Linked DNA regions of Ovis aries. The main gene of each other region encodes a partner of the protein of the gene in region 7 in a complex. Links are inferred from orthologs where the notes say so. Each region holds a gene or a part of one and is shown on either strand. Other genes may lie near its edges.

Region 1 (4,087 bases), on a different chromosome or scaffold from region 7:
TTTCCAATTTATCATCTATACCATTAAAAAAAAATTTTAAACCCAAGGTTTCCACAAACTAAAAAACTATTTGCAAATATTTCTTAATAGCTATAACTTCTCAAAGTTAAGATGAGATTAAAATATTTCAAACTCTCTTAATTTGACAAAATACAATGTGAAGTACCTTAAAAAAATAAACAAAACCATGACTGCTCTCTTGATTAAAAAGGAAGCAAGGCGACTGGCCTTAGGCTTTGGAGTCAAATTTAGTTTAAATCCCAGTTTGGCTCTGCCACATACATTCATATGACTCTGGGAAAGTGACTCTTTTTCTGATCCAGGTTCTTAGCTTAGAATGCAGGGCTAGTTCTTCCTCACAGAGTTGTACTAGGATTAAGTGATGTAACACACGGGACATGCCTGGTACATGACACATGTTTAATAAATGGCAAAGTCTGACACTTGGTAATTGCCACTTAAGGACCCACTGAGAAAAACCCCAAGGATTAAAAAGAAAAAAACATCAGTTGCAGAGTAGGAAGATAGAAGAACAAATTCTATGAATTATAGAAGACAATAAAGTTTAGCAGCCTTAAAACTTTTTTGAAAGTTAACAATCATGAATTATAAATGAAATTAAGCCACCAAAAATCATGGAATAAATTCCTCAGATCAAGGAGAGAATCCAAGACTTTTCTGGAATTAAAATGGGATACAGCGATAAAAGGAAAAATGAGATGAAATACACTTCAATATTCATCATAATTTATTCTACAGAAGCACGAGATTCTACAACCTAAGAATATCTGAAGATTAACAATGTACATGTCTTAAATGTTCATTATATAGAGGTAGTATCTAAATCTTTTTTAAAAGTTTCCAAAAAGCACACACACACATTTAAAAAAAAAAAAAAAAAAACAACCTGTATGATTCATGTAGTAGATGTCAGAGCACTAAATGAGGAAGGAAATAAAAGATGAAGCAAGATAAATACAAAATATAGACAAATATCTGCAGACTAGACCAGAAGTTCTCTAAGGGCAGATTCTGTTATTCATCCAAGCTTCTAGAAGAAGCCTTGTATGTAACTTACAGCCAATGTTTATTAATGAAAAAAACAAAAAAAAAAACGGATTGGCAGCTATTTATCAAAGAGATAAAGAGTTGAATCATAAGAAAACTGCAATGCAGGTGTACTCTGGTGCCTAGGCACTGGAGATCAGAGGTTGTACATAAAAATTTACAACCAGTAAGCCTTCAAGAGTGGGCTTCCCAAGTAGCACTGCAGCAAAGAATCCACCTGCCAATGCAAGAGACGCAGGAGATCCGGGTTTGATCTCTGAGTTGGGACAATCCTCTGCAGCAGGAAATGGCAACCCACTCCAGTATTCTTGCCTGGAAAAGTTCATGGACAGAGGAGCCTGGCAGGCTACACTTCAGGAGGTCACAAAGAGTCTGGGACAACTGAGCATCACAGGCAGAAAAGCCTAAAAGAAAGCAGAGAATGAATACACCAAATACTTACCACAATCATTCTCCCATCAGAAGTAATGACAGCAACAGTTCCTGATAACTGAATCAAGGAAAGCATTTCTAAGGGAATGCAAACTGAAAACTTAAAATCTGGTAAGTAAATGGCTTAAATTACTAGGAAAAAAGGTGACAGAATTAAGATACAACTATTTAACACAGCCACATTTACAACATAAAATTGTATGTTCTTAATTCTCTGTGACAACTACACAATCTAAAAAAGGAAAAATAGAAAACATCCTTTTTATGAGATCAGTGTATTCTATCTTAAAACAAGCTGGGATGTTTGGTACTCATTTTTAATGAGGGAATATTGCAAATATGAAAATTGAGCAAGATATTTTTCCTTTTTTTAAACCTGTTTCATCATCTCTGAAACGAAAATTGGATGAGTGCTATTCAATGTCAAATGATTTAATACGTTAAGACACTGTCTTCTAGGACCTGCCTTCTGGAATTCAAAAGAAACTATAATCAATATCACAAGTATCAATATGCTTGCATCATTTAAAAAGAAAAACCTTTAGCATTCCACTTTTGTCCCAAATTTGTACATGAGAGCACAACGTAATGTTTCTGTCCCGAGACTTTAAAATGGTGCATAGAGTACTATTACAGGAGCTTTTTAAAGCTATTTGCCCCACAAGCCGATCTATTACAACAGCAAGCATTATTTTAATTCCATCAACAATAAAGTTGAGATTTCAGCTGGTAAAGGGGCAGACATTCGATTTTTGCATCATCTGTAAAGTTTCTGCTATCCTTGAAGACTGAGCAAAGCCTATGAATAAAACAAACACATAGATTTGTGAGTCCACCGTCGCAGCTGGTAAAACTATCTTATTCCCAAACGTGAACGTATAGGCCCGAGGGAAATGGAAAGGGTGAATCAATAACTGATTTCTATAGAGACACGGAAAAGTTCAGAATAATCTTGTCGGTTTTGCTCGGCTTTTCCATCAAGTTAAGACGCCTTGGACCAGCAGGAGCTGCGGGCTCCAGTCCCAGGGGTGAGCCTCCTTAACCTCTGTATCCCCACCCCGAGACCCAAGCCCGTCAGTGGCTCGGTGCCCCAACCGCCCGCCGATCCCGACCCCTGGCCTTTCCAGCACTGGTCCACTCCGGGGCCAGACGTGGGCCTCACCAAGGCCTTAGCTAATGCCCGCGATAGCCGACTGAAGGGTACGGTTGATGTAGTTCTCCAAGGCGGACGTCATGATACGCGACCTGGCAACTGGAAACACAAGAGCCCCGGCGTCCAGATGAGCTAGAAAGGACCGCCAGGGAACAGCAGCCTCTCTCGCCGACTGGCGGCAGCAAATACCGCGAGAACTACCGCAGGGCGGCCTCCGCGAATCAGAGACTGAAAGAAACCGGCCAAGCATTCCCGAGATGCAAAGCGACGACGGCCTTAATGCGCGTGTGCAGTATGTTTCTGCTCTTGCGGGTGATATTGGAAGCCGGAAAGAACCAAAGAGAACGGGCGGTGGGAGAAAGAAAGAAAGAAGCTCCCTGAAGATGGGGAGAAGGTGGGCGAGCGCGCTTCATAGCGGAATGGAAGGCTTTAGTGGCAGAAGTTACTAAGGGGAAATGTTGAGAGAAGATGGGGAAGGCAGGAGAAAACCGAATAAGGTTTTTGTTGTGTGTGTTTTTTTCCCCACAAGTGAAGTAGAGACTAGTGCTGTTCTGGTATGAAGTGTAGACGCCCGGATGTGGAATCCCTAATTTTGTACTGCAGAGGCCGAAAATTAACGTTTTAGAAGCTAAACGACCCCGGACAAAGTTCCACAGTTGTACCGTATGGTATACATATCTGGAGAAGTCAGTAGTTAAAAGCATGTTCGCAGTTTGCATTTGCTTCTAAAAGTGCTGCATCGTGTTCACCCGCAACTATCAACCATTGTTATTGTGAATGGGCTATACCCCAATACAAATGTTTTTGTTGTTAAAAAAAATTTTTAAATGGTGCATCGCGGCGGCGTTGTCACTCATTCATTTTGTCACTCTGCCGTGTCAGAGTCTTTGCGACCCCGTGGACTGTAGCCTACCACGCTTCTCCGTCCATGGGATTTTCCAGGCAAGAGTTCTGAAATGGGTTGCCGTTTCCTTCTCCAAAGGGTCTTCCGGACCCAGGGATCAAAACCGGGTTTCCCACATTGTAGGCAGACGCTCTGGAGAAGGCAATGGCAACCCACTCCAGTACTCTTGCTGGAAACTCCCACGGACGGAGGAGCCTGGTGGGCTGCAGTCCATGGGGTCGCTAAGAGTCGGACACGACTGAGCGACTTCACTTTCACTTTTTACTTTCATGCATTGGAGAAGGAAATGGCAACCCACTCCAGTGTTCTTGCCTGGAGAACCCCGGCCTGGTGGGCTGCTGTTTATGGGGTCGCACAGAGTTGGACACGACTGAAGCGACTTAGCAGCAGCAGCAGCAGCAGCAGGCAGACGCTCATTGGAAAAGACTGATGCTGGGAGGGATTGGGGGCAGGAGGAAAAGGGGACGACAGAGGATGAGATGGCTGGATGGCATCACCGACTCGATGGACGTGAGTTTGAGTGAACTCCG
Region 2 (4,142 bases), on a different chromosome or scaffold from region 7:
AGCAAGATATTGACTTAAAGCTTATTTTCTTGAATTTTAAACTCTATCAGGTAGCAACAATACCTTGAATTTGGTTCCTATTCACATTATGGTATGGTGAAAATGAAACAAGAATAGATATAGGAAAACAAATTTTTTTGGCATTACTTTGTCTTGCCAAAGAATGATGTGACGATTGACTAAGATCCCTGAAGTTAAAAGAGCACTTTTTGCTTTACATATTAAATTCCACGTGCTTTGTACATAATGCTTGCTAGTTGTCTTTCTCCCCCATTTATCCTTTAGCTCCTATAAGGGCAGAAGACGTTGTAGTTCTGTTCTTTACGCTGGTTATACTGAGCAAAATGCCAATGTTCAACTAAAGTATTTGTTCGATGAATGAATGATTGGTGCTTTGCAGCCATTGTGTGAATGAATGATGTCCTTCCTGGCCTTTCCTGCTTAAACTCTTTAGCTTTAAGCTCCTCAGATATAAACATAAAATAGACCAACGCAAAAAATTTGTTCGCTTTTTCTTTTCAAAACAGATGCGTAAAAGCAGCAAGGCTTCCTAAATGTGATGTTATTAACATAGAATGACATCTGGTGGTTGCCTGTTGGACTGTGGAAGAAATAGTGTATACAAAATGTATAGCAGACTCCTAGATATTACAAGATTAAAAAGGACAGTTCAGTTCTGTCACTGTTTTGTCCGACTCTTTGCGACCCCATGGACTGCAGCACACCAGGCTTCCCTGTCCATCACCAACTCCTGATAGTAGAAGATAGAAAACAATAGAAATGGAAAAAATTGAAAAAGTAGAATAGAAAAATAGAAAAAGAAAACGATAGTAGAAAATAGAAAACATACTTAAAATTTCCCCCTCGCCCAACAAACTTTATTAAAAATGCTAGTTGTGGGTTTTCAAATCATCAAACTTTTAAAAGAAGCGGTAGATTTTTTTTTTTAACGAAAATTGCAACACAATGAATCGGTGGCGGGAAAATCAAATTTATTGATTCTGGTCGAAGAAAGATCCTGGGTTGATATGAGACACACCTCGATAAGGGGAAATAAGACAGCACAAAGGCTTCCGTTTCGCAGGCTTCCGGATTAGAGAAATAACTTATTTATAAGACCGGAGATCTCTAAAGTCTCTTGGAAGTTTGGAGAGGCGAGTTATCTGTGGAGAACCTAGAACGCTCAGTGAACAGAAACACTTTCTAGAATCTCCCTGCAGGATAAAGAAGTGGCTGGATCTCCTCAATCGCACTCTCGGCCTCAGATTGGTCGAGCCTGCCTGGGCCGGAAAAAAGCGGAAGCGCGCTCTTTCAAACTCGCCGTTCCGACGTCGATAGAGGCAGGCCACTTCCGGCGTAGCCATGGCGGCTAACGCTACCACTAACCCGTCGCAGCTGCTTCCTCTAGGTAATCTTTGTCCTGTTGGGGAGCCGGGGCGGGGAGTTGAAAGTTAGGGTTGGGGCCGAAGAGCAAGGCAGTCCCTGACCGAGTGTTAGAAAAACGTAGCTTTCTCTGCAGCTCTCCTTTAGGCTCCAAGTCTCGGCGGCCTGAGGCCGCACAAGTCTCTCTGGCGTGGGGGAGTCTTCTTGAGGCAGGGGTTTTTGACTCCCCAAACCTTCACCGGAAAGGTTCAGTCTTGGTGAATGTGTCGTTGACCTTCTTTGTTGGGTGCTCGCCTTTATAATAGTAAGAGGCCCATTCCGCAACCGGGCTTTTAAACTACCCGGGTTATATCCTGTCTGGCTGGTTTCTGAGTGAGGCACTTGGGTCTGGAATGAGCCTTTAAAGAGGCCTCTGAAAACTAGCTCTTGTTACTCATTTATTCAGCAAGCAGTTACCGCGCCATCTGTGCACTAGACACTGTGATTGGGCACTGTTCAACAAATTTAAATCACGGCCATTACCTTCAGATAGCATACAAACCAGTGTAGGAAACAGGATACAGGGCAGACATAGACTTAATGACAAGGAGGAATCTCTGGTGAAGACAGTTCTGCCTTTTTTTTCCCCTTAATATTTTATATTTGAAGGGTTATCGGGTTAGTGGATGTGGCAGTTATTGTAAAGGTTTTTTTCCATCCTGGAACAAATTCTTCTGAATGACCAGTACATTTCAGGCATTGTCCACTGGGGATACACTGATGAGTAAAAACCACCTCTCAGCTCTCTTTCAGCTTAGAGTCAAGAGGGGCGTTCATATGTTAATCAGATAACTAAAATAGTATTAAACTACAACCATGATAAATTGCTACAAAGGAGGGTTAAATGAATAACAGGGAGGGAAAACTGTCCTTTTAATAGAATGACTGAACAGAGATATGTAACATAAGGTCTAAAGTTTTGGAGTGAATACTTTTCCTGGCTTATCTTTTCACCATATGCATGTAACAAGTGTCAGTAGGCATTCAAATATTTGTTAATGTTATGAATGGGCAAACTAATCTTCTCTCTCCCGCCCTTATCTGCAGAGCTTGTGGACAAGTGTATAGGATCAAGAATTCACATTGTGATGAAGAGTGATAAAGAGATTGTTGGCACACTTCTGGGATTTGATGACTTTGTCAGTATCCTTTTAAAAGGTGGTTGTATGGATTTTTCTTCAGATTTTTAAAAAAGAACTATAGACTATCAGTACTTACCGATTATTATAATAAAGTTTAATTTATTTTTTTGGAAATTGTGATAGTGTTTTAAGGGATTGTGGTACTGAAAGATGAAGTTCCTACCAATTGCACGCAGCTTGCATTTGAGCCATTGTATTCAATGTTATAATTAAAACTGAACAAAGAAATAAGCCAGAGTAAATTTAATTTGGTATGTTTATTTTCTTAACACCAAATTTCAGATATGGTATTGGAAGATGTCACTGAATTGTGAGTAGTGTTAAAAATTAAAGAATGGGTAGGGGGAATCTCTGTTTGATTTAAGGCAGTTTTAGTGCTGTTGAGTCAGTAAAAGGATGTAGGAGAGCACACTGCCTGTTTGAATTACTCTAAAGAGAGAAAGTTTACCTACTGATGTTAGTAAAATTGGATTGGAGGATTATTACCATAATTTAATTGTCACTAATTGCTAGGAAGTTAGTGGAGACAAAGGTTTAAGGTAAAAGATACTAAAAGCAGCCAGGGATCTTAGCGCTCAGATCAAATAAAGGAACTTATAATAAAAACATTTAATGTTTTAAATTAGTTACTCTAAAACTTATGTGTATATATATATATATAAACATTTTATTTCATATTTGATCTCCTTGGTAAGTTTCAGTTTTTTAGATGAAGATCTGCACTAGTGGATGTGGGTCTTAGGCCAGTCAGTCCACTCTCTTGCCTTTGGAGAATTGACATCACCATGGGGATAACCTTGTCTCTGGAAAGTGTACAGTTCATTTATATATAGTAACTAACCTTTTGGTGGATCAGAATGTTGGCTTTGATTATCACTCTTTATCCTGACTTTTTGAAAATCTTTTTGTTTAGTGAAATCACACCAGAAGGAAGAAGAATTACTAAATTAGATCAAATTTTGCTAAATGGAAATAATATAACAATGGTAAGACAGTGAAGGTCTTTTATTTAGATGTTAAGCCATCTTTGTGGGGCAGGGATTACAGAACTGACTTGATTGACTCAATGTTCTTGGCCCAGTGGTGCTTAGGGTGGGAAGGGAATGCTCTGCTGATCAGGATTCTGTGGCCAAACTGTTGAAGATGACATTAGGCCTAAGATTAGTTTGTTTATACCTTTTATCTTATGTATTTTTAAAATATTTATTTATTTTTTTATTTGGCTGCATTGGGTCTTAGTTGCATCACAGAAGATCTTTACTTAGTTGCAACATGTGGGATCCAGTTCCTTGACCAAGGATCAAACCTGGGCCCGCTGCATTGGGAGCATGGAGTCTTAATCATTGCACCACCAGTGAAGTCCCTGCTTGTGCTTTTTAATCATTTATTTTACCAAGAATTAACTGTTGAAACATTAAATCACTAAGTATTAATTGATACTGTTGGAATTGTAAACAGAGGTGACATGGGGAAAATGGGAATATGAGGGAGAGGCAAAGGCTGATCAATGACCAGTCAGTGAGCTCTCAGTAGGGGTTTTTAGATCATGTGGTACTAAGTTTTAAACTTTTTCCTCCT
Region 3 (4,028 bases), on a different chromosome or scaffold from region 7:
ATGGCGAAGCGCTCCCGGGCGGGGTTCCCGGACCGGAAGGAGGCAGGTCGAGGAAGTCCGCGCCCGACCGTGCTGCGGGTGGCTTTTGTACGCTAGTTGCGAGGGATGGTCAGGCTAGATGGATGGGGGTTTGGATAGGTCGCCAGGGCGAGGCGTCGCGGGCTGACAGGTCCTTCTGCGTGGCTGGGGTGGGGCGGCTTTAGCCGGCGAGGTGTGCTGTCATTGGTCCCCGGGATCCGGGAGGCGCCCTCCCTTCGGGACTTCCCCCGCCGGCCGGGAAGAACAGGGGCGGCTCATCACGGCAACCAGCGAAGTGTGCTGTCATGGTCCCCGGGATCTGGGAGGATCGTTGCGTTAGGGACCTTCTCGCTGACAGGAGGGAGCGGAGGGGCGGCCCATCACGGCCCCCGGGGTCCGACCTTACACTTCACTATGTCCCTGAGTTTGCGCACACTCATGTCCATTGAGTTGGTGATGCCGTCGAACCATCTCATCCTGTGTAGCTAACCCTTCTCCTCCTGCCCTCAATCCTTCCCAGCATCAGGGTCTTTTTTACAGAGTAGAACTGGTTGACTAGTGGTAGGAGGGCAGAGGTGCCTCTTGCCCCTCTCCATGGCGGGGGATGGGGGTGCGGGGCGCTTCATTGTTGGAGAAGAAATTAAGTCACTGTCTTCGACGAGTTGGCCCCGGCGGGAGGGCAGCTACTTCCTTCCCTGATGTTCCCGGGGCCTTGGAAAGGGCCCTCCTGCAGAACGTGACAGGCATTTAGGGGCAAAGGGGAGTCGCCTGGGTGCCCAGAACGAAGGTCGCGGAAGCATGGGTTCTAGGTGGGGGTAGGTGAGGAACAGAGCTTTGTTATCAATTGTTTAATACAGAGGAAAAACCGAAAGGAAGATAACACACATACGCACGCACGCGCACACGCGCGGTTCAGTCTGTTGCAAGGTGCGAGTTCCCTCAGCCAGAAATCCGGCTCATTAGCCTGCATAGCTCATAGGACTGTTACCAGAGGAAGAAGGGGTTAAAAAAGCACTTGGGACAGGATAGGGTGCTAAGCAGGCGTACGTTTCGCTTGATGTGGGAAGTCTTTGGGAGCCGCAGGCCAGAGCCCAGGAGAGTACGGGCCGTGGTTCCGGAACCATCGTTCGAGGGTACCAGGATTCGCCGGTCCCAAACCGGAGCGCAAGCGCCCGGTCTATTTCCCGCCTGCACTTCCGGCGTCCGACCCGGAAGTGGAAGGGAAACCATCTTGCTCTCTCTCTTTCGGCCGAAGTGCGTCCCGCCTGCTTCGTTCCGGCACCGTTTGTTAGCGTGTGGTCCTGGGAGCGGAGTTCTGAGACTCTTGAGCAGCCGCGGCCATGGCGGATGTAACCGCCCGTAGCCTGCAGTACGAGTACAAAGCGGTGCGTATGGGCTCGGCAGAGGGCTCCGGGCGGGGGAGTCTGATAGGGAGCGGGAGGCTGAGGAAGGGGGTTTCAGTCTAAAGGTAAACGCGAGAACCGCGAAAGCAGAGGAGAAGTCAGAACCTGGCGAAGGTGGGGGTACACGGCGATGTGAATGACCCCACTGGTGATTGGGGCTCAGCTCTTACCGGCGTGGGCCAAGAGCTCTGCGAGGAGTGTTTGTCCCAGTCCCGGCAGCGCTCTTCCCGCCCCCTTCCATGTATCATCCCCAACGTGCCCGACACTTTTCCCACGTGGGAGTTATTACGAGCAGTATTAGAAGCAGTGATTGTTATGTTGATTTGTTTGCCCTTTGCTCATGCGCGATCATACGATGCGCTTCTCAAGGAAAACATCTTTTTATTTCGACTAGTGATTATCGACACTTAGTCGCTCAGATTCTTCCTTTGCTGTCAGCTGGCAACCCTGTGATATAGTTGAGTCCTGCTTACCTCAGAGCTTCAATAATATTGTGGTCTTTTCAGAACTCGAATCTTGTCCTCCAAGCTGATCGCTCTCTCATTGACCGGACCCGCCGGGATGAACCCACAGGAGAAGTGCTGTCCCTGGTGGGGAAGCTGGAGGGCACCCGGATGGGAGATAAGGCTCAACGAACCAAACCACAGATGCAAGAGGAAAGAAGAGCTAAGTGAGTATCAAAGGGAAAAAATGATTTTTCCTCAGATGCAGAATCCATTTTCCCTTGGTATTTGAGCAGTGCTTTTGCTGAATTGCTTGGTGCAGGATGAGCCATCAGTGGCATTAAGACAACTCAGTGAAGGTAACAACATAAGAATGGAAAGATTCTTTGGCCTTAACAAGTGTACCTGAAGTGGAAAACAGCTTTTAGACCCTTTTCCAGCATGTGTTTCTCATCCATCAGCCGCTCAGTTGTGTCCGACTCTTTGCGACCCCATGAATCGCAGCACACCAGGCCTCCCTGTCCATCATCATCTCCTGGAGTTCACTCAGACTCACCTCCATCGAGTCCGTGATGCCATCCAGCCATCTCATCCTTGGTTGTTCCCTTCTCCTCCTGCCCCCAATCCCTCCCAGCATCAGAGTCTTTTCCGTTGAGTCAACTCTTCTCATGAGGTCCCAAAGTACTGGAGTTTCAGCTTTAGCATCATTCCTTCCAAGGAAATCCCAGGGTTGATCTCCTGCAGGATGGACTGGTTGGATCTCCTTGCAGTCCAAGGGACTCTCAAGAGTCTTCTCCAACACCACAGTTCAAAAGCATCAGTTCTTCGGCGCTCAGCCTTCACAGTCCAACTCTCAGATCCATACATGACCACAGGAAAAACCATAGCCTTGACTAGACGGACCTTGGTCGGCAAAGTAATGTCTCTGCTTTTGAATATACTATCTAGGTTGGTCATAACATCCATAGAGAGATCTTAATTTTCTTGATGGTATTTTCAAGACTCTTGGTAAACTCTTGTCAGAGTAAGTCTTTCCTTCTATTACTGACTTTCCGCTACTTCTTTGGCTTGCTGTTGCCTGCTTTTTCTTTTGTTGTTATAAACTACCATTTGAGCGTGAAAGGCTGGTGTTTTGTTTTGCTTTTTAGTTGGTTTTTTACCTTGGGGAAGGGGGATATTTTTCCAGACTTTAAAGAATCATTGAACTTTATCTCATGGTTATCCTTTGAGCCTGATCATCATCTGTCCCATGATGAAGTCTCAAAAATTCATAGGTCCAGTTTTGATTAAAGCAGTTATATTTGAGATGAGTTACTTATCATTGGTCCTCCATTTTGCAGAGTATGACTTCTTTTCCAGGAATCAATGGCAGTAGATTCCTTTGGAGCTTCAGTTCTCTGGCAGGGAAAGGAAGATGTGTCTGAGGGATGAAAACTAGTCAAATCCGATCATATAATGTTGTGATACAAAGTAGAAAGGGTTGTCTTTTTAAATGAACGGGGGGGATGTCTCAGCATGCAGTGCATCTAGTGAGAGGATGACGGGATTCCCTTGCTCTTACCGTGTTCCCGTAGAGATACTGCCGCAAGTGACTGAGGCCCGATGGGCATCATTTGCTGAGGCACACATTTGTGGTTTTAAATACTGCCTGTGAATCATGCAGCTGAGAAGGGGAGCGTGGGCTTGCCTTAGTCTTACCATTAACAGGGAAGGTTCTACCTGTTCAGTGTCATACTGTGTGTTTGTTAGGCGAAGAAAGCGTGATGAGGACCGGCACGACATCAACAAGATGAAGGGTTACACTCTGCTCTCAGAGGGCATCGACGAGATGGTGGGCATCATCTACAAGCCCAAGACCAAGGAGACCCGGGAGACCTATGAAGTGCTGCTGAGTTTCATCCAGGCTGCCCTTGGGGACCAGGTAAGGCAGCCAGAGGGTGGAGCCACGCGTTTTTGGAGAGGGAGGAAGTCATAGCTAGGAGGCCCCAGAGGAACCTTGTTTGTGGATTTTTCCTGTGTGGGCCATACCAATATGCGGAAGTGGCTGGTGTTCACTTTACGTGACGTAGCACTTTTTGTGTGTTCTCTCTTTCAGTCTTGTTAACTCTGACCTGGTGCTATTAATATTCATTTTTTATTTTGCTGGAGGGATGTGCGGCAAAGG
Region 4 (4,091 bases), on a different chromosome or scaffold from region 7:
TTAAACTTACTTCTGCCTCAGGATCTTTTGTTGTCCCCGACTGGAGGCCTCTTCCCCGAGATCTTTCTGTGTGTGGTTCCTTTCCAGTGCTTTCTCTCCAGAAAGTTGTTCCTGGAACACTCAAGCCCAAGCAGCACCCTACCTCTCTTTTGCATTTGATCAACACTACTTTTTTCCCTCAAAGAACTTATCACTATCTGAAATTACGTTTCTTATGTATTTGTTTAGTTTGTCTCCCCTGCTCTGCCACGAGAAAGGCTCTGTAGTGCAGGAACCTTACCAGTGTAACATGACACTGTTTCCCAGTCTCTAGTTCGTTTAATGAATGAATGATTGAACGAATGCTTCCAACAACCCTGCAGGGTACAGGTTATTGAAGAAAGTAGTTTTGATAATGGTCTTGGACATTAAGACCAGTTGCAGTCGCGGCAATTCAAAGAAACCCAGGCTGATATTCTTGCCAGACAGAAGCACACTATTAACAATCTGCAAATCTCCTTAGTTTCCAGCTTACTCATTTACTCAGGAAATACTGCGTCAGGTACCGTCCCAGGCACTTAGGAAACAGTACTGAACAAAATAAAAAATGAAGCTTGTGTTCTAGTGGGAAGGACAGAAAAGAGGGAGGGTGAGCAGAAACAAGTAAAACATATAGACGGTGGCATGTGTTATGGAGAAAAACAGAGCAGCAATGTAGATGAGCACAAGGTATGGCAATTTAAAATGGGCTGGTCAGGAAAGTGGAAAAGTGTTATCTGAGCAGAGATTGGGAAGAGCTGAGTGTATAAACCATGTGGACACTTGGAAGAAGAGTATTTCAGTAGAGAGCACAGCAAATGCAAAGACTTTGTAGCAGGAGCGTGGAAGCCACTGTGACTGGAGAAAGGTGAGCAATGGAAAATTGGTAGATCAGAGAGATCAAGTGAAAGAGGGCAAAAGATTGCCAAGATTTCAGTTTTACTCTGACTGACGTGAAAAACCATGGCAAGTTTTCAGCGGGGGGTAATATGATCTTATGTTTAGAAGGATTCCTCTGGCTACTGGTTTGGGAATAGACTGAGCATCCATAAACAGAAACAGGAATTCCAGTAGGATCCTACAGCCATAGTGCCAGATGAGACAAGTGAAGTGAAAGTGAAATCGCAAAAAAAAAAAGGAAAAGTGAAGTCACTCAGTCGTGTCCGACTCTGCGACCCCCTGGACTATAGCCTACCAGGCTTCTCTGTCCATGGGATTCTCCAGGCAAGAATACTGGAGTGGGTTACCATTTCCTTCTCTAGGGGATCTTCCCGACCCAGGGATCAAACCCAAGTCTCCCACATGGCAGGCAGATGCTTTAACCTCTGAGCCAACAGGGAAGCCCTAATGGCTTAAACCAGGAGCTAGTGATGGAAGTGGTAGAAAGTGTTAGTCACTCACTCAGTCATGTCCAACTCTTTGTGACCCCCATCAACTGTAGCCCGCCAGGCTCCACTGTCCATGAGATTTCCCAGGCAAGAAAAAAGGAGTGGGTTGCCATTTCCTTCTCGAGGGTATCTTCCCAACCCAGGGACTGAACCTGGGTCTCCCCCATTGCAGACAGACTCTTTACTGTCTGAGCCACCAAAGAAGCTGGAAGGTGGAAGAAGCGGTAGTGAGTCTGGATATAGTTTGAGGGTGGTGTCAACATTTGCTAACCAGCTGGTTGAGGAGTTGTGGGGGGCGGGAAGACATATATTTTGTCAGCTGAGCCTAACAGGATAGAAGCAGAGGTGTGATCACTACCTCAGTTTTACAGGAAATGTAGTTAAGAGCATGGATTCTGAGTTTAAAAGCTGTTCCTGGTGGTTTAGTCACTAAGTCATGTCTGACTCTTGCGACCTCACTGACTATAGCCTACCAGCCTCCTCTGTCCATGGGTTTCTCCAGGCAAGAATACTGGAGTGGGTTGCCATTTCCTTCTCCACGGATCTTCTGACCCAGGAATCAAACCCAGGTCTCCTGCATTGCAGGGAGACTCTTTACCAGCTGAGCTATGAGGGAAGTCCTATCACTTACTATATAACTTTGTTTTCCCGTCTACAAATTAGGATAATAATATTTCCTAACTCTTGGGAAGTTACCGAGATTAATGCAGTTTTCATTTACACAGCACAAGGGCTCAACGGATGGTAACTATTCTTTGGTTATTACTAATACCAGTGCAGAGAAACAACGGGAAAAGCAAGTTTCCCAAGTCCCCAAAACGAGCCAGCGGCATTCATTTCCCCCCTTCCCTCATTCATTCATTCATTCATCCATCCAATCTTCCAAGTTTTCTGAAATTTATCGTTTATTCTATACTGGATCCCTGGAACATTTAAGAAGTCAAAACCCTGGTCTCGGTTTTTAGCTCAAGATCCTCAATTCTTAATTCTAACACCTCCTCACAGGGCGGTCAAGACGCTGAAAACGCGCGTCAAATGGAGAAACGCAGGGAGAATCGCCGGGTGTACGCCGCTTTTACCGTGTTTTTCTGCTTTAACTCCTAGGAGAGAGAGTCCCGCTCCGGCCGGGAGTGTGGGTTAAGGGCCGCGCAGGATCACCAGGTGCTGAGGAGAGAGGAAGATGAGCTGAGGGCCGAAGGCCGCCTGCTCCTTATACTCACCGCTTGCAGCAAAGCTCCCGGCGCCGCCTGCTGCTGCCCGGCTCCAGGGCCCGACCCTGCCGCTCCCAACAGTAATTCATGTCGCTGCCGCTTCACTGGGACCAGTGGCAACTCTGGGCCCTTACGCTTCTGCTGTTCTATCATGGCGGCAGCCGCTATCCTCAGGCCGCCACTGACCGCGCCGACCCCCTCAGGTACCTCACGATTGGCTCGGACTTAGTCTTTCCCGTAGAACTTCCGGCCGATAGAACCCAATCGACTTCCAATATACCTCTCAGCACCGCCCCCTGAGAACTTTCCTGTTATTGGCCAGTTCTTTCTGACATCACTAGAGTACGAATTCAGGATTGGTGGATAGAGCTGGAGTCCCGCCTAGGCGCGCTGTGTCTTGTGGGTGGAAGCTCACTGACTGGGTTTTGGTGTTTCGCGCAATGCTGCGAGGGAAAGACCAGAAGCAGACAACAAGTAAGTGTAAGGAAGGTCGAGGGGCGGGTGGCTGTGGGATCTGGAGTGGTCTGAGGCTGGCTCTTCTCAGATGCAGGTTTGATTGCAAGGGGCAAAGGGGGCCCCGAGTTCCTAGCTCTGGTGTGTAGTAGCCTGGGTTCCAAGCCTAAGAAACGCGGGTTCGATCCCTGGGTGGGGAAGATCCTCTGGGGAAGTGCATGGCAACCCACTCCAGTGTTTTTGCCTGGAGAATCCCACGGACAGAGGAGTCTGGCTGGCTACAGTCCATGGCGTCGCAGAGTCGGACACGACTGAAGCGACTTAGCACCTAGCCTGGGTTCCCTTTCTAGCCTGGAGCAGAGTTTTGGGAGCCTCTGCTCAGCCTGGGGCCCTCGATGGCTGACTTCTTCAACAGTGTTTTCCGTGCAGAGCCCTAGCCCAGGCGATCCCAGGGAGAAAAGGCCCATCTCCTAGCCTCCATCAGGGTCCTCTCTGACTGAAGAGGCGGACTTGTCACTGCCATGATTCCGCAGCCTTTACTAGCGCCTCCTCAGAAAGATAGAGATGAAGGTAATGTCCGACTCTTGGCCTCCGGAGTACAGTTTTGTTGAGAAATTCGAACTCAGACCTGTGAACTAGGCCTTCTTCTCAGTCGTCCAACTAATATTTATAATACAGAGCACTGGGCAGACATTGTGAACCAAACATGGTCCCTGACTTCAGAGCTTTAAGTCTGGGGTTGGGGGGAAATAGATGCTCACCAGATCTCACTAGGAAATGGGAAGTATGGAAGTGTGTGCTACCTAGGAGAGGTACCTGGTGTTAATGAGTGCCTGAATAAACAGGACGGCTTCTGTAAGGAAAATATGCCTGAACTGATAGCCTCAGGGAAGAATTATAATTAGTTGGGTGAAGCAAGGAAGGCAGAATGTTCCATCTAGAACAGCATGTGCAGAAGTCCTGTGGCAAATGCGAGGAAAATGAGTAAAAGGCACAAAGAGGCCATTGTGGCCAGGACAGA
Region 5 (4,031 bases), on a different chromosome or scaffold from region 7:
CTGCTGCTGCTAAGTTGCTTCAGTCGTGTCCAACTCTGTGCAACCCCATAGACGGCAGCCCGCCAGGCTACCCCATCCCTGGGATTCTCCAGGCAAGAACACTGGAGTGGATTGCCATTTCCTTCTCCAATGCATGACAGTGAAAAGTGAAAGTGAAGTCGCTCAGTTGTGTCCGACTCTTAGTGACCCCATGGACTGCAGCCTACCACGCTCCTCCGTCCGTGGGATTTTCCAGGCAAGAGTACTGGAGAGGGGTGCCATTGCCTTCTCCGCTGCATGCCTCTAGGGACAGTTAACTAATCTGTTAGAAACTTTAGTTTCTCAGTTTATTAAAGTATGCCAAACACAGAAAACTAAATGAGGTTTTAAAGGCCAGAAACTGGTTCAAGTCATCTTGTTTCATTTGGCAACTTACACTTACATAAACACACAGCCTTCATGAGACAATGAGAATATGGAGCACTTTTAACAAGTTATCTAGGCTTTCTATCCATGGCAAAATAGAAACATTATTTCAACAGTTGCCAAAGCTACTCTCTGAAATAGTCTCAGTATAGGAACACTAACAAATCTAACAGTGAACTGGAAATAATTACCATGAAAATGATAAAGCCTTAACTACAAGGCTTTTTGGATAATCTAGTAGCTAGTTTTAAAACTCACATAAAAAACAAGCATTTGGATGAGAAGTGAGAAGTACAAGGGTGATGCAGTCATGTTTAAAATAACATAAAAGGTTTAAAACTCATGAAAAGTGCACACGTATAGAAAAGAAAATGTGTGGGAGGGTCGATGAGAAACAACAGAAGTCCTATCTGCACAGAAGTCTTTTTATACCCTTCCATACTTTCTGAATTTCTTATGACAAACATGAATGATTTTATTTTTAAAATATAGTAGACTACTAGTTACTGGCATGAAAAAATACCCTCAACAGTGTGTGCATACTTACTGGCTTACTTGTTTCCAACTCTTTGAGAGCTGGTAGACTGTAGCCCACCAGACCCCTCTGTCCATGGGGTTTTCCATGCAAGAAATACTGCAGTAGGTTGCCATTTCCTCTTCCAGGGGATCTTCCCCACCCAGTGATCAAAGCCACCTTGTCTCCTGTGTCTTGCACTGCAGGTGAATTCTTTACCCACTGAGCCATCAGGAAAGCCCATTTAACAGTATCACAATGACAAACGCAGCTTACAAAACAATTGGTTTATCGTGATTTCATTTATGGGAAAAAAAAGTGTATTTTTATAGCTTTATTAAGTTCTTGAAATGACATAGCTCCAATTAATACAGATTACAGGTTTTTCTACTTCATATGTTTCTTTATTGTTTAATTGCTTTCAAAATAAAGATGGCTATCACTTTAAAATTTAGAAGAGATAATTTCATTTTGGGTGAAAAACAGTTGAAAAACTAAAAAGAGGAGAATATTAGGAAACACAGTAGCTCCAAGCTAACGCCAGAACTACACTAGATCTCCAGAAGACAAAGGAAATCACTCTGAATTCAAATACACACTGAATAAATAAATTCCTAGTAAAATTACTAACAGTTTACTGAAGGAAAACTGTATAAAAGGTTTTAAGAAAAAGGTTCTTTGGATGATAAGACCAAGTCAGGTAGGTGGAGAATATGGACTTTGATAGGTGCAAGCTTATTAGTTGTAGTTTCTTGACATAAACTAGTGATATTTAAGATGAAGAAGGTAATCATTACAGAAAATTTGAGCACCAAAGGTAAAGATGAACTCACAATTTGAATCTTACCAGAGGTTATGTTAATGTTTCCTGCTTCAATTCCTGCTTTGAGTCCTTCTTTTCCCAAAAGCCCAGATTCTCCTTTGGCCAGACGCTCCCTCTCCTTCTCTTCCAAACTTCCATAATAGATGTGTGGTTTCTTCACAACAGGAGCCACTAAGTCATCTGGTGCCTTAGTTTTGGTTGCCTGCTAAAACAAAGACCTAGGTTAACCTAAAGCTTAATCTTAGCAGCCTAATAGGTTTCGCAGCAGAATGAAGCTTATTTAGAGCTTCAAACCTATTTCTTCCCCACACAAAGGACAAACCAGACACCAGTTAAAATGTGTCTTCCTTAATCTGGGGGTGGAGGGAAAGAGTGGTTCCAGTCTCTTAATCACTTAAGTTTTGTAGATAGGAAGAGATGGATAAAACTAGTCAATTTCTCGTGCTGATTTTTCTGTCAAAGGTTTTCTCTTGAATATGTGTATTTCATACGGCTGCAGCAGGTGAAATCTCTTCTTGGCTTTTATGAAATTTCCACAATTACTGCTCATCACAGGGGTATCAAGGATAACTGAAATAACCAACGCGATGGTACGGGGGCCAAGTTAGAAAGCTACTGTTCATACATTTCAAACGTTTCGGATATGAAGCAGTAGATAAGTTAGGAGGCCTCGTTACAATTAAGAGTTCTGAAAGTGTCATAAATCTTGGCCAAGACTCTACTCCCTTTCAGAGCTCCGTTTCTGAACCAGACGGAAGAGATATTTACATTTCGGGGCTGGAGTGAGAGGTGAAAACGAGCTAAAACAGATGGAAGCACCCAAGAATTAGGAAAACACCGAAGCCTTCCTCCTCGGCCCTCCACCGCCGTAGCCCGTTCCCTAATGGCCCTGTTTCGCAGGGACCCCCCCACCCCCTCAGCGCTCCCTGCCAGAATGAGACCTGTACCGTGGAGGAGGGTCGTGAGGAAGCCATGCTGGGCTCCGGGGACGCGAAGCCTCAGCGAAAGCCGCGCTCTACGTTTCAGACCGTCCACCGCGCGCCCAGCAAAGCGGAACTACGTCACCAACCGGAAGTGGTCCTAGGTCCGACGCAGCATCCTGGGAGGCGTGGAGCATTATGGGAATCGTAGTAGGAGGGAGTCTGGGCGAGTTGAGAGATGTGATCTGTAGAGCCTCAGAGAGAAGCACGCGGAGGCCAAGGTTCTGCGAAGAGAGAAACTCAGAGGCAGTGTGGGAAGTGTAGTCCAGTTGGCTTAGCGGATGATTCGGGGTGGGCGCCGAGGTTCCGGAAAGGGACTGAACAGGCCTGAAAAGAGGTAGGTGCGGGGAATCGCGCGGCTGCGAACTGAACTCAGGGAGCGAATCGAGGGATTCCGGGGCCTACTATCGGCTCCCGGCCCGGCCAGGGGCTCTAAGTCCTCCTGGCGCCAAGGCCTATGTTGCCATGGAAACTCTCGCCCTGGACCCTTGAGTGCAGCCCAGGAGCTGCGGCGGGAGTGCTGTTCTCCTCCACTGTCAGGAAGTTCTCTTGGCAGTTTCTTCTGGGCTGGGTAGGTTTTCGGTGAATTTGGGCAGTGGTGAAACAATAAGTTCAAAGAGCCCTCTAGCGCCGAAGTGAAATAAAGACCAGGCGGAGGAGCCACGCCCCGCTTTTGCTGTCTTCAGCAGGTCTTTCTGTCTTATTCCGAGAGAGATGATGAATGTGAGGCGTCAGGTAAACTGCAAGCAAGCAACTTGCACGACTCTGCTGCCCTGGGTGCTGGGGCATCAGAGGCGGACAAGACAAGATTCTTGCCCCCTTGTAGGGCGTGAAAGTGAAAGTGAAGTCGCTCAGTCGTGTCCAACTCTTTGCAACCCCATGGGTTCTCCATCCATGGGATTTTCCAGGCAAGGGTACCGGAGTGGATTGCCATTTCCTTCTCCTTGTAGGGGGTGGAGATGCTCAAAATATTGATGTTTCCAGAGCTGGAAAGAGCCCCCTCCTCTCCCCTAGGCCTCTTTCCGATAATAATGCCTATTTACTGTGAAAAATTCTGAAAGAGATGGGAATACTAGACCACCTGACCTGCCTCCTGAGAAATCTGTATGCAAGTCAAGAAGCAATAGTTAGAACTGGACATGGAACAACAGACTGGTTCCAAATCAGGAAAGGCATAGTAAAGGCAATATATTGTCACTCTGCTTATTTAACTTATTAGATGCAGAGTACATCATGCAAAATGCCAGGCTGGATGAAGCACAAGTTGGAATCAAGATTGCCGGGAGAAATATCAATCACCTCAGATATG
Region 6 (3,500 bases), on a different chromosome or scaffold from region 7:
AGTGGTGGTACTGAGGGGTCTGGGATGTGAGAACTCCGTGTGTGTGTGTGTGTGTGTGTGTGTGATGAGTGGTGGTACTGAGGGGTCTGGGATGTGAGAACTTCCTGGACTGCATGGGCAGTAAAGAAACACCCTGCTCAAAATGGCAACAGTTCCTCTGCTGAGGAACAGTGCCCAAGAGTCAGCTTGAGCCCGGAGACACGGACACTTCCTGTACCATCAGAAGATACTGCCTATAAGCATCCCCATGACAATTTCTTGAGAATCGTCTCGGCTTAAAATGTTTCAAAAATCCCAGAAACCATACACTGAGCCGCCTGTTTCACCCCCTGCGGCTCTCCTCTGTAGCCCCCACCCCTGCTCACTTGTTTTTCTTGCCATAGTCAGCCAAGATAAGGTCCTTGAGCTGCACCTCCACCTTGATCCACTCCTCGTCCGTCAGAGTGGGCCAGATGTGGTGCGGCTCTGTGATCGTGGTCTTGTCTGGCTTCAGGATCACCTTCGCGCGGTCGTTGTTCACATGCAGGGCACGCAGGATCAGGATGAGGCGGGAGAAGGCCTGCGGAGAGGTGTGGTGGCGTGGGGTCAGCAACTGGACGCTCTTCCCTCTCCTCCAGCCCATCCCTTTGGAGACTGACCCCTAAGGGGTCCCCCTCACCAAAGACAGGGGCACTGGCTCATCCACAGGTGGATGAGGTGAAAATAACCCCCCCAAGAGGCCTGTGAGAAAGCTAAGGCACAGGACTTTCTTGTGATCCCAAACCCACTCTTCTCAGAGTGACGCTCCCAGCAAGCTGGTTTCATACCGTGTAAGATGAGATAGTCTTGAGCCAGTCGTCATAGAGGTTAAAGAGAACCATCTGCGGCTCAGTGGCTTTAAGGATGAGATCCCCAAACTTCTCCACCTTGAGGCAAGCCTGGAAGGGGAGCTGGAGCTCTGATCCTTTAATCACAATATTGGGGAAGTCCAGCAAGTGCACCTGAGACAAGATCAAGTCCAAGTTTAGAAACAGAGCCAGCAGGTCTCAGCCCTCTTTCCTCCTACTCATTCACCACCTCTCACTCACCTCCAGTGGATCCAGCATGCCTTTCCTAGTGACAATGATCTGCTTGGGCTGCTCCTCCACGGGCAGAGATCGGATCAGAGCAGCCACCTCCTCAGCTGTCTTCCATTTAGCCAACTAATAAATAAGAAAGGAGGACAGGGAAACTGAGTCTCTGCCCTCCCAGGTCAGATAGAACAGAACATCCCAGTCTTGAAACACTTACCCTTACCTTATGTTTCTACTGTATGCTCCTAATCGTTAGGTACTCAAGAGCTATAGAAAAAATGTCCAATTGTCTTGCCCCAAAGGATGTTTCAACCTAGCTGGCCAGAGGAAACTCACACAAGCTAGTGTTTGACTATATACACACTATGTCAGGGACAAAAGAAATAAAGGCTAAAGGTCACAAAAAGTTGCACAAAGAAGGAAGTCTTGAGGATTGAGCGAGACAGTGATTAACAGAGCTAAAAGAAGAGTTCATTCCAGCAAAGCCACAGAGGCAGAGATGTTCACCAGGGTCTGGGATACCAGGATCCTGGACTGACTGCCAGAGGGGCATGCTGCAGAGGACAAGAAACCGTGGCTGGACAGATGACAGCCTGCCTAGACATCAAGCACCTAGAAAACCAGAGCTACCTTAGCAAGAAGTAAGGGTCACCAAAGGCTTTGAGGCAGAGAAGAGACTTGGTGAAACCGACATTTTAAGACTATGTTCCCTTTAGAAAGATGATTTTTCATAGCCCTCTTCAAGATAGGTTAGAGACACAAGATCTAGATAAATAACAAGGAACTACTGTATAGCACAGATAACTCACGAAGCAGAAAGCCCAGTTAGTGGGTGATGAAGGACCTCAATTATTCTTGGACTTCTTACAAGAACACTTCCCAAGTTAAGTAATTCAGGGGGAAAAGTGTAAATGAGATACCCTCAAAGTTGCAAAGAGAGAAATAGGGAGATTCTTTCTCACACATCCACCCAATACCAAAGAATAAGAGGCAGCATGGTTCTATAGCCTCTCTACCCTTTAACAGGCTCACCTGCCCCAAACGCTTCTGTCCAGCCCACACAGATGTGTGAATTATCTTGAGAAACAGCTGCCCTGTGCGTGGGTTGAAGATGAAGATGGCCCCATTGATGGGTTTGGTGGTCAAGTTCCCTTCAAAAGTCTAAAGAATGATTACATCAGTTAGCACAGTCTAGACACAATCAGCCTGCTTTCCTTCCAGTATGCACACACTTGCCCAGTCACCCTCCCATAGGCATATACAAAACCCCACACCCCCACATGCGTCTAACTCTCACCTTATGGATAGTCACTCTGTAGACATTAGTGTCATCCACAAACCAGATAATCTGGTTGGAGAAGAGCTCACCGTAGTTCTGAGAGGACAGATAGGGCTCAGTGGGCTCAGATGAATAGAGCTGCAGCCCCTTACGGATCCGTTCACGTAACACATACAAGGCAGGATTTGCCTTCATGATCTTGGCCATGGCCTGCTGTATGAGAGGCTTGCTGCCAGGAAACCAGTTTCCATAGGCACTGTGAAGGGGAAAGAGGCAAGAAAGATTAAGACCAGACTAGAATTCCCAGGAACAAGGCAAAATGCAACTACAGAGAAAAAAAGACTGTTTGCCAGGCTGAAATGAAAGTGTCTGATCATCTACACAGAGGCGAGAAAGAGTCAGTGACCCAGACGAGCAAACCGGCAAACCTTAGCAAACCAAAAAGCACATGCATACTGAAGTATGGGGTGGGTGGGGGGACGAATTAGGAGGCTGATAATAACATATACACTACCGTATATGAAACAGATAAATAACAAGGAACTACTGTATAGCACAGACAACTCAATACTGTGTAATAACCTATATGGAATCTGAAAAAAAAAACTGATACAGGTATAACTAAGTCACTTTGCTGTGCACCTGACATTAACACAACACTGTAAATCAACTATAATTCAAAATTAATGGGGTGGGAGAGAGATTCAAGAGGGAGGAGCCATATGATATACCTGTGACCAATTCATGCTGATGAATGGCAGAGATTAACACAATGCTGTAAAGCAATTATCCATCAACTAAAAATAAGTAATTTTTAAAAATTAAAACAAAGTATGGGGCTGATGAAAAATACATGCTTTTGAGCCTCAACTTACCTATGCAGGTTATATGCCAGGTCAATGGCAATGAGCACACCAGTGGGCGAAGGGTAGATACTCATGTTGTCTGTGGTGTAGTCCAAGAACTTGGCCCGGGCATAACGCTCGATGTCATGGGAATCGTAGTCCCCCCAGCGCAACTGTATGTCAATCCAATACTTCTGAGTGGTGGTGCTATCCATCACATCCCTGAAAGTGGAGAGGGCTCAGGAGTCTAGGCTTCCAGGAAGACACTGGTACAACCAATATCCCCAGAACACCAAGAACTCTCAATCACTCTGTCTACATCTT
Region 7 (3,500 bases):
TTATTGAAATAAGTAGAACTCAGCATGATGGCAGAGAAGAATTTCCAAATAATATAATGCAGAAAGCTTAATCCACTTAAATAATTTCAGATTGACTTGGTATTGTTTTTCATAGAAATTATCTGTGTATTTAAAATGGGCATTGTTTAAAAATTCTGATACCATATAAATAGTAAATATTTTCAGAATATACTTTTTGCGTTTTAAACTATGTAAATATGTCACTATTTAAGAAATTGTTAAAAATAAATTTAAAAAAATAACCGTGAAGCACCTTGACAGCAGACTCTTTTGGAAAATTCAAGAAGAGTTACTGGATCATGTTCTCAAAGCTTATTTTTCTGAATTTCCTTAGGACAGAGGAAGGAATTGATGGAGACTAGGAAGCAAGTCTACATTGTGGACTCTGGTTACCCAAACTAGGAACTCAGGGACCAATAGTGTTTTTTGTTTTTTTTAAAAATAATGTTATGGATTCTATTAGTGTTGCATGCATTATTTAAATGTTCACAGTTGCCCTGTAAGATCTGTTTTTACTCCTTTTAAACACTTGGAGATTTAAGAATTAAATACCATGTTCAAGGTCACACAGGCATTAAATGGCAGAGTTAAGATTCAAACTCAGGTTTCCCTGACTCCAGAGTCTTACTCATCAAGCTGTGTTACTACTTAACATGCCAGTCCTGCCTTGGGAAGATAGGTTGAAAAATTCCAGTGATTAACTGTGTAAGCTTATCTTTACTAAATTTGCTAGCCTATGGTACAGGCAGAATATAATGGGATCATCAAAAAAATACTGGTTTCTCTAGATCTAAAAGCCCTTTGAGTTTAGGAACCTGTATGGGAGAAATAAAGAAGAGATGTTAACTGTTTTTCAACTTTTTACTCCACTGAGAGCAGATCAAACAGATGATGGAAGCAGCAACACGGCAAATTGAGGAAAGGAAAAAGCAACTGAGCTTCATTAGCCCCCCTACACCTCAGGTATTGTAACCTCTTTTCAGGTTTCTCTGAAAAGAAGACTGTTAAACACAAAATTTCTTGCCACCCACTCAAATGAGAGTCCAGAAAATGACTGCATGTTCCACCCTCAATTTACCACAGTCCACCGCTCCGTGTGTGTGTGTTTGTGTGTGTGTAAAAGAGAGAGATCTGTTTGCCTATGTTAATTTTTTCTGATTCTGATTTCTTTTTCTCTCTCACAGCCAAAGACTCCTTCATCCTCCCAACCAGAGCGACTTCCAATTGGCAACACTATTCAGCCCTCTCAGGCCGCCACTTTCATGAATGATGCCATTGAGAAGGCAAGGAAAGCAGCTGAACTACAAGCCCGCATCCAAGCCCAGCTGGCACTGAAGCCAGGTCTCATCGGCAATGCCAACATGGTGGGCCTGGCCAATCTCCATGCTATGGGCATTGCTCCCCCGTGAGTATCTATTTTATGGAACTCTTTTTTTCTGAAGCTTGAGAAGCAATAAATACCTTTGAGTGTTACTGATCCTTTTCTTCCAAGGAACTTAAATCATTTCTTAGTTTCATATTTCTTACATATGTTCAGTAAATACCAATTGAATTTATTCTCTTGGTTTCCTTGTTGCAGAGTTTAATTAGCTTCTTGTTATGAATGGTAAAACTAAAATTAAGATTATTCCTCCAGTACTGGAGCTAGGAATAGGATCAGGTCTCCTGGTTCCTAACTCAAGAGCTATTTCCATTAGACCACATTGAGTGAGACCAGATCTGAGCGTTCTCTGCAACTGGGTAAAAGTGATAGGCTTTATTTTTAGCACCTCAATTGGTTTGCCATTCCCTGACTCAAGAATTCAGGAGTAAAGAATGATAGGATTCTAACTTCTTCCCATTGTAATTTGTAAGTTCATTTCATCTGATTATACTCCATACTCAACTGTCCAGCTTCATATATTCAGTCAAGATGTTATTATTCATTGATGGGTTCATATTCCTTAGAATTTTGTAATCTAATTGTCTTTTGTGGGTTTTGATTTGTTTTTATTTTTTGTCTGTTTGTTTGCCTGCCTTATTGTTTTATATGGGATTTATTCCTCTTTTGGGCTTTTTTTCAGGAAGGTGGAGTTAAAAGATCAAACTAAACCTACACCACTGATTCTTGATGAACAAGGTCGAACTGTAGATGCAACAGGCAAGGAAATTGAGCTGACACACAGAATGCCTACTCTGAAGGCCAATATTCGGGCTGTGAAGAGAGAACAATTCAAGCAGCAGCTAAAAGAAAAGCCATCAGAAGACATGGAATCTAATACCTTTTTTGATCCACGAGTCTCTATTGCCCCTTCCCAGCGCCAGAGACGCACTTTTAAATTCCATGACAAGGGCAAATTTGAAAAGATTGCCCAACGATTACGGACAAAGGTATCTGGCTTAGAATAAAATCTAGAAATTTGAAGAAGTTAGGAAGGTGACAAAGGAAACTGTATATAATCCTGAAATACTGTCAACTTAATTCTCTATATGTTTTTGGCAATTAGATAAGTAGTAAAGCAATGAGTAATTTTTAAAATACTGTATTCCTGGAATACTTGATTTTTAGTGATTTGGTTTCTCAGTTACTTACGTTCTACTTAGGTAGAAAGGAAATTGAATTTGAAAATTCTCTACATACAACAATCAGTGGAGGGAAACTGTTCAGAAACCTCAGGACATCTGAGGAAAACTAGCCTGCAATTAACATTTGCTGCAGACAGTCCACATTCCTGGATAGTTTAATTGACCATATATTCAATGACTTTGACCTTCTTGTTTTCATCCTCTCAGAAGTTTTCCATAGAATTCCATTTCTGCATATTTGCTGCAGGCACGCACTGGGATAGAGGGGTGATGATGAGAGCCAAATATATGGAAATCAACCAAGTAATGAATAAAGTAAAGCAGAACAACTCTTTTTTCTTAGCTTTCAGAAAATCTGAATTTGTTGTGTTATATGTAAAGAGTTCAACAAGGGAGTGTTTTAAGATTTGGGATTCTACTGCTTCCCTATTTTCTGTGATTCCAGTTTATCTTCTTGTCTTACCTTGTCTTTAGGCTCAACTAGAGAAGCTGCAGGCAGAGATCTCACAGGCTGCTCGAAAAACAGGCATTCATACTTCAACTAGACTGGCCCTCATTGCTCCTAAGAAGGAATTGAAGGAAGGTGACATCCCTGAAATTGAGTGGTGGGACTCTTACATCATTCCCAATGGCTTTGACCTGTGAGTTTGTTGATTAATACCTTTTAATAAGGCTAGAGTTTTAATGGGAAAGATGGTACTCATGCATTAAGTACAAATTTTAAATCTAAGCCAAATAGATAACCATATACAAGCTCCATAAAGAACATGTTCTACGGGTTGATTTTAGTTTTTTGGGTCAATCAGTGTAGGAGGATTGGACACAGATATTTTCTGCTTGCTTTGTTATACATTGTTAGTGTTTTTAGCATATTTGTTTTCTTAATTACCTTCTTTTGCTACTTATAACAGATG

The links.
Region 1: PRPF3 (region 7) and LSM8 share a complex: the UniProt entries of both Homo sapiens proteins name them as parts of the precatalytic spliceosome. The link is inferred for Ovis aries from reciprocal best matches to the Homo sapiens genes PRPF3 and LSM8.
Region 2: PRPF3 (region 7) and LSM5 share a complex: the UniProt entries of both Homo sapiens proteins name them as parts of the precatalytic spliceosome. The link is inferred for Ovis aries from reciprocal best matches to the Homo sapiens genes PRPF3 and LSM5.
Region 3: PRPF3 (region 7) and SNRNP200 share a complex: the UniProt entries of both Homo sapiens proteins name them as parts of the U4/U6-U5 tri-snRNP complex. The link is inferred for Ovis aries from reciprocal best matches to the Homo sapiens genes PRPF3 and SNRNP200.
Region 4: PRPF3 (region 7) and SNRNP40 share a complex: the UniProt entries of both Homo sapiens proteins name them as parts of the U4/U6-U5 tri-snRNP complex. The link is inferred for Ovis aries from reciprocal best matches to the Homo sapiens genes PRPF3 and SNRNP40.
Region 5: PRPF3 (region 7) and PRPF4 share a complex: the UniProt entries of both Homo sapiens proteins name them as parts of the precatalytic spliceosome. The link is inferred for Ovis aries from reciprocal best matches to the Homo sapiens genes PRPF3 and PRPF4.
Region 6: PRPF3 (region 7) and PRPF8 share a complex: the UniProt entries of both Homo sapiens proteins name them as parts of the U4/U6-U5 tri-snRNP complex. The link is inferred for Ovis aries from reciprocal best matches to the Homo sapiens genes PRPF3 and PRPF8.

Annotation. Positions count from the first base shown.
Region 1 is NC_056057.1:84,396,579-84,400,665, reverse strand, and holds the start of LSM8 (LSM8 homolog, U6 small nuclear RNA associated), read right to left. Parts: upstream 2,801-4,087; 5' UTR 2,736-2,800; coding exon 2,705-2,735; intron 1,552-2,704; coding exon 1,511-1,551; intron 1-1,510. UniProt on the Homo sapiens protein: Plays a role in pre-mRNA splicing as component of the U4/U6-U5 tri-snRNP complex that is involved in spliceosome assembly, and as component of the precatalytic spliceosome (spliceosome B complex).
Region 2 is NC_056057.1:65,579,067-65,583,208, forward strand, and holds the start of LSM5 (U6 snRNA-associated Sm-like protein LSm5), read left to right. Parts: upstream 1-1,342; 5' UTR 1,343-1,362; coding exon 1,363-1,408; intron 1,409-2,469; coding exon 2,470-2,565; intron 2,566-2,846; coding exon 2,847-2,874; intron 2,875-3,477; coding exon 3,478-3,550; intron 3,551-4,142. UniProt on the Homo sapiens protein: Plays a role in pre-mRNA splicing as component of the U4/U6-U5 tri-snRNP complex that is involved in spliceosome assembly, and as component of the precatalytic spliceosome (spliceosome B complex).
Region 3 is NC_056056.1:104,064,009-104,068,036, forward strand, and holds the start of SNRNP200 (U5 small nuclear ribonucleoprotein 200 kDa helicase), read left to right. Parts: upstream 1-1,228; 5' UTR 1,229-1,358; coding exon 1,359-1,403; intron 1,404-1,927; coding exon 1,928-2,091; intron 2,092-3,613; coding exon 3,614-3,785; intron 3,786-4,028. UniProt on the Homo sapiens protein: Catalyzes the ATP-dependent unwinding of U4/U6 RNA duplices, an essential step in the assembly of a catalytically active spliceosome. Plays a role in pre-mRNA splicing as a core component of precatalytic, catalytic and postcatalytic spliceosomal complexes.
Region 4 is NC_056055.1:236,094,116-236,098,206, reverse strand, and holds the start of SNRNP40 (U5 small nuclear ribonucleoprotein 40 kDa protein), read right to left. Parts: upstream 2,801-4,091; 5' UTR 2,771-2,800; coding exon 2,627-2,770; intron 1-2,626. UniProt on the Homo sapiens protein: Required for pre-mRNA splicing as component of the activated spliceosome. Component of the U5 small nuclear ribonucleoprotein (snRNP) complex and the U4/U6-U5 tri-snRNP complex, building blocks of the spliceosome.
Region 5 is NC_056055.1:10,447,135-10,451,165, forward strand, and holds the start of PRPF4 (U4/U6 small nuclear ribonucleoprotein Prp4), read right to left. Parts: upstream 2,801-4,031; 5' UTR 2,717-2,800; coding exon 2,684-2,716; intron 1,948-2,683; coding exon of another isoform or gene 1,945-1,947; coding exon 1,767-1,944; intron 1-1,766. UniProt on the Homo sapiens protein: Plays a role in pre-mRNA splicing as component of the U4/U6-U5 tri-snRNP complex that is involved in spliceosome assembly, and as component of the precatalytic spliceosome (spliceosome B complex).
Region 6 is NC_056064.1:22,651,302-22,654,801, forward strand, and holds part of PRPF8 (pre-mRNA-processing-splicing factor 8), read right to left. Parts: intron 3,399-3,500; coding exon 3,207-3,398; intron 2,588-3,206; coding exon 2,350-2,587; intron 2,214-2,349; coding exon 2,085-2,213; intron 1,182-2,084; coding exon 1,068-1,181; intron 981-1,067; coding exon 807-980; intron 560-806; coding exon 366-559; intron 1-365. UniProt on the Homo sapiens protein: Plays a role in pre-mRNA splicing as core component of precatalytic, catalytic and postcatalytic spliceosomal complexes, both of the predominant U2-type spliceosome and the minor U12-type spliceosome.
Region 7 is NC_056054.1:100,400,259-100,403,758, forward strand, and holds part of PRPF3 (U4/U6 small nuclear ribonucleoprotein Prp3), read left to right. Parts: intron 1-900; coding exon 901-984; intron 985-1,205; coding exon 1,206-1,426; intron 1,427-2,084; coding exon 2,085-2,391; intron 2,392-3,060; coding exon 3,061-3,227; intron 3,228-3,500. UniProt on the Homo sapiens protein: Plays a role in pre-mRNA splicing as component of the U4/U6-U5 tri-snRNP complex that is involved in spliceosome assembly, and as component of the precatalytic spliceosome (spliceosome B complex).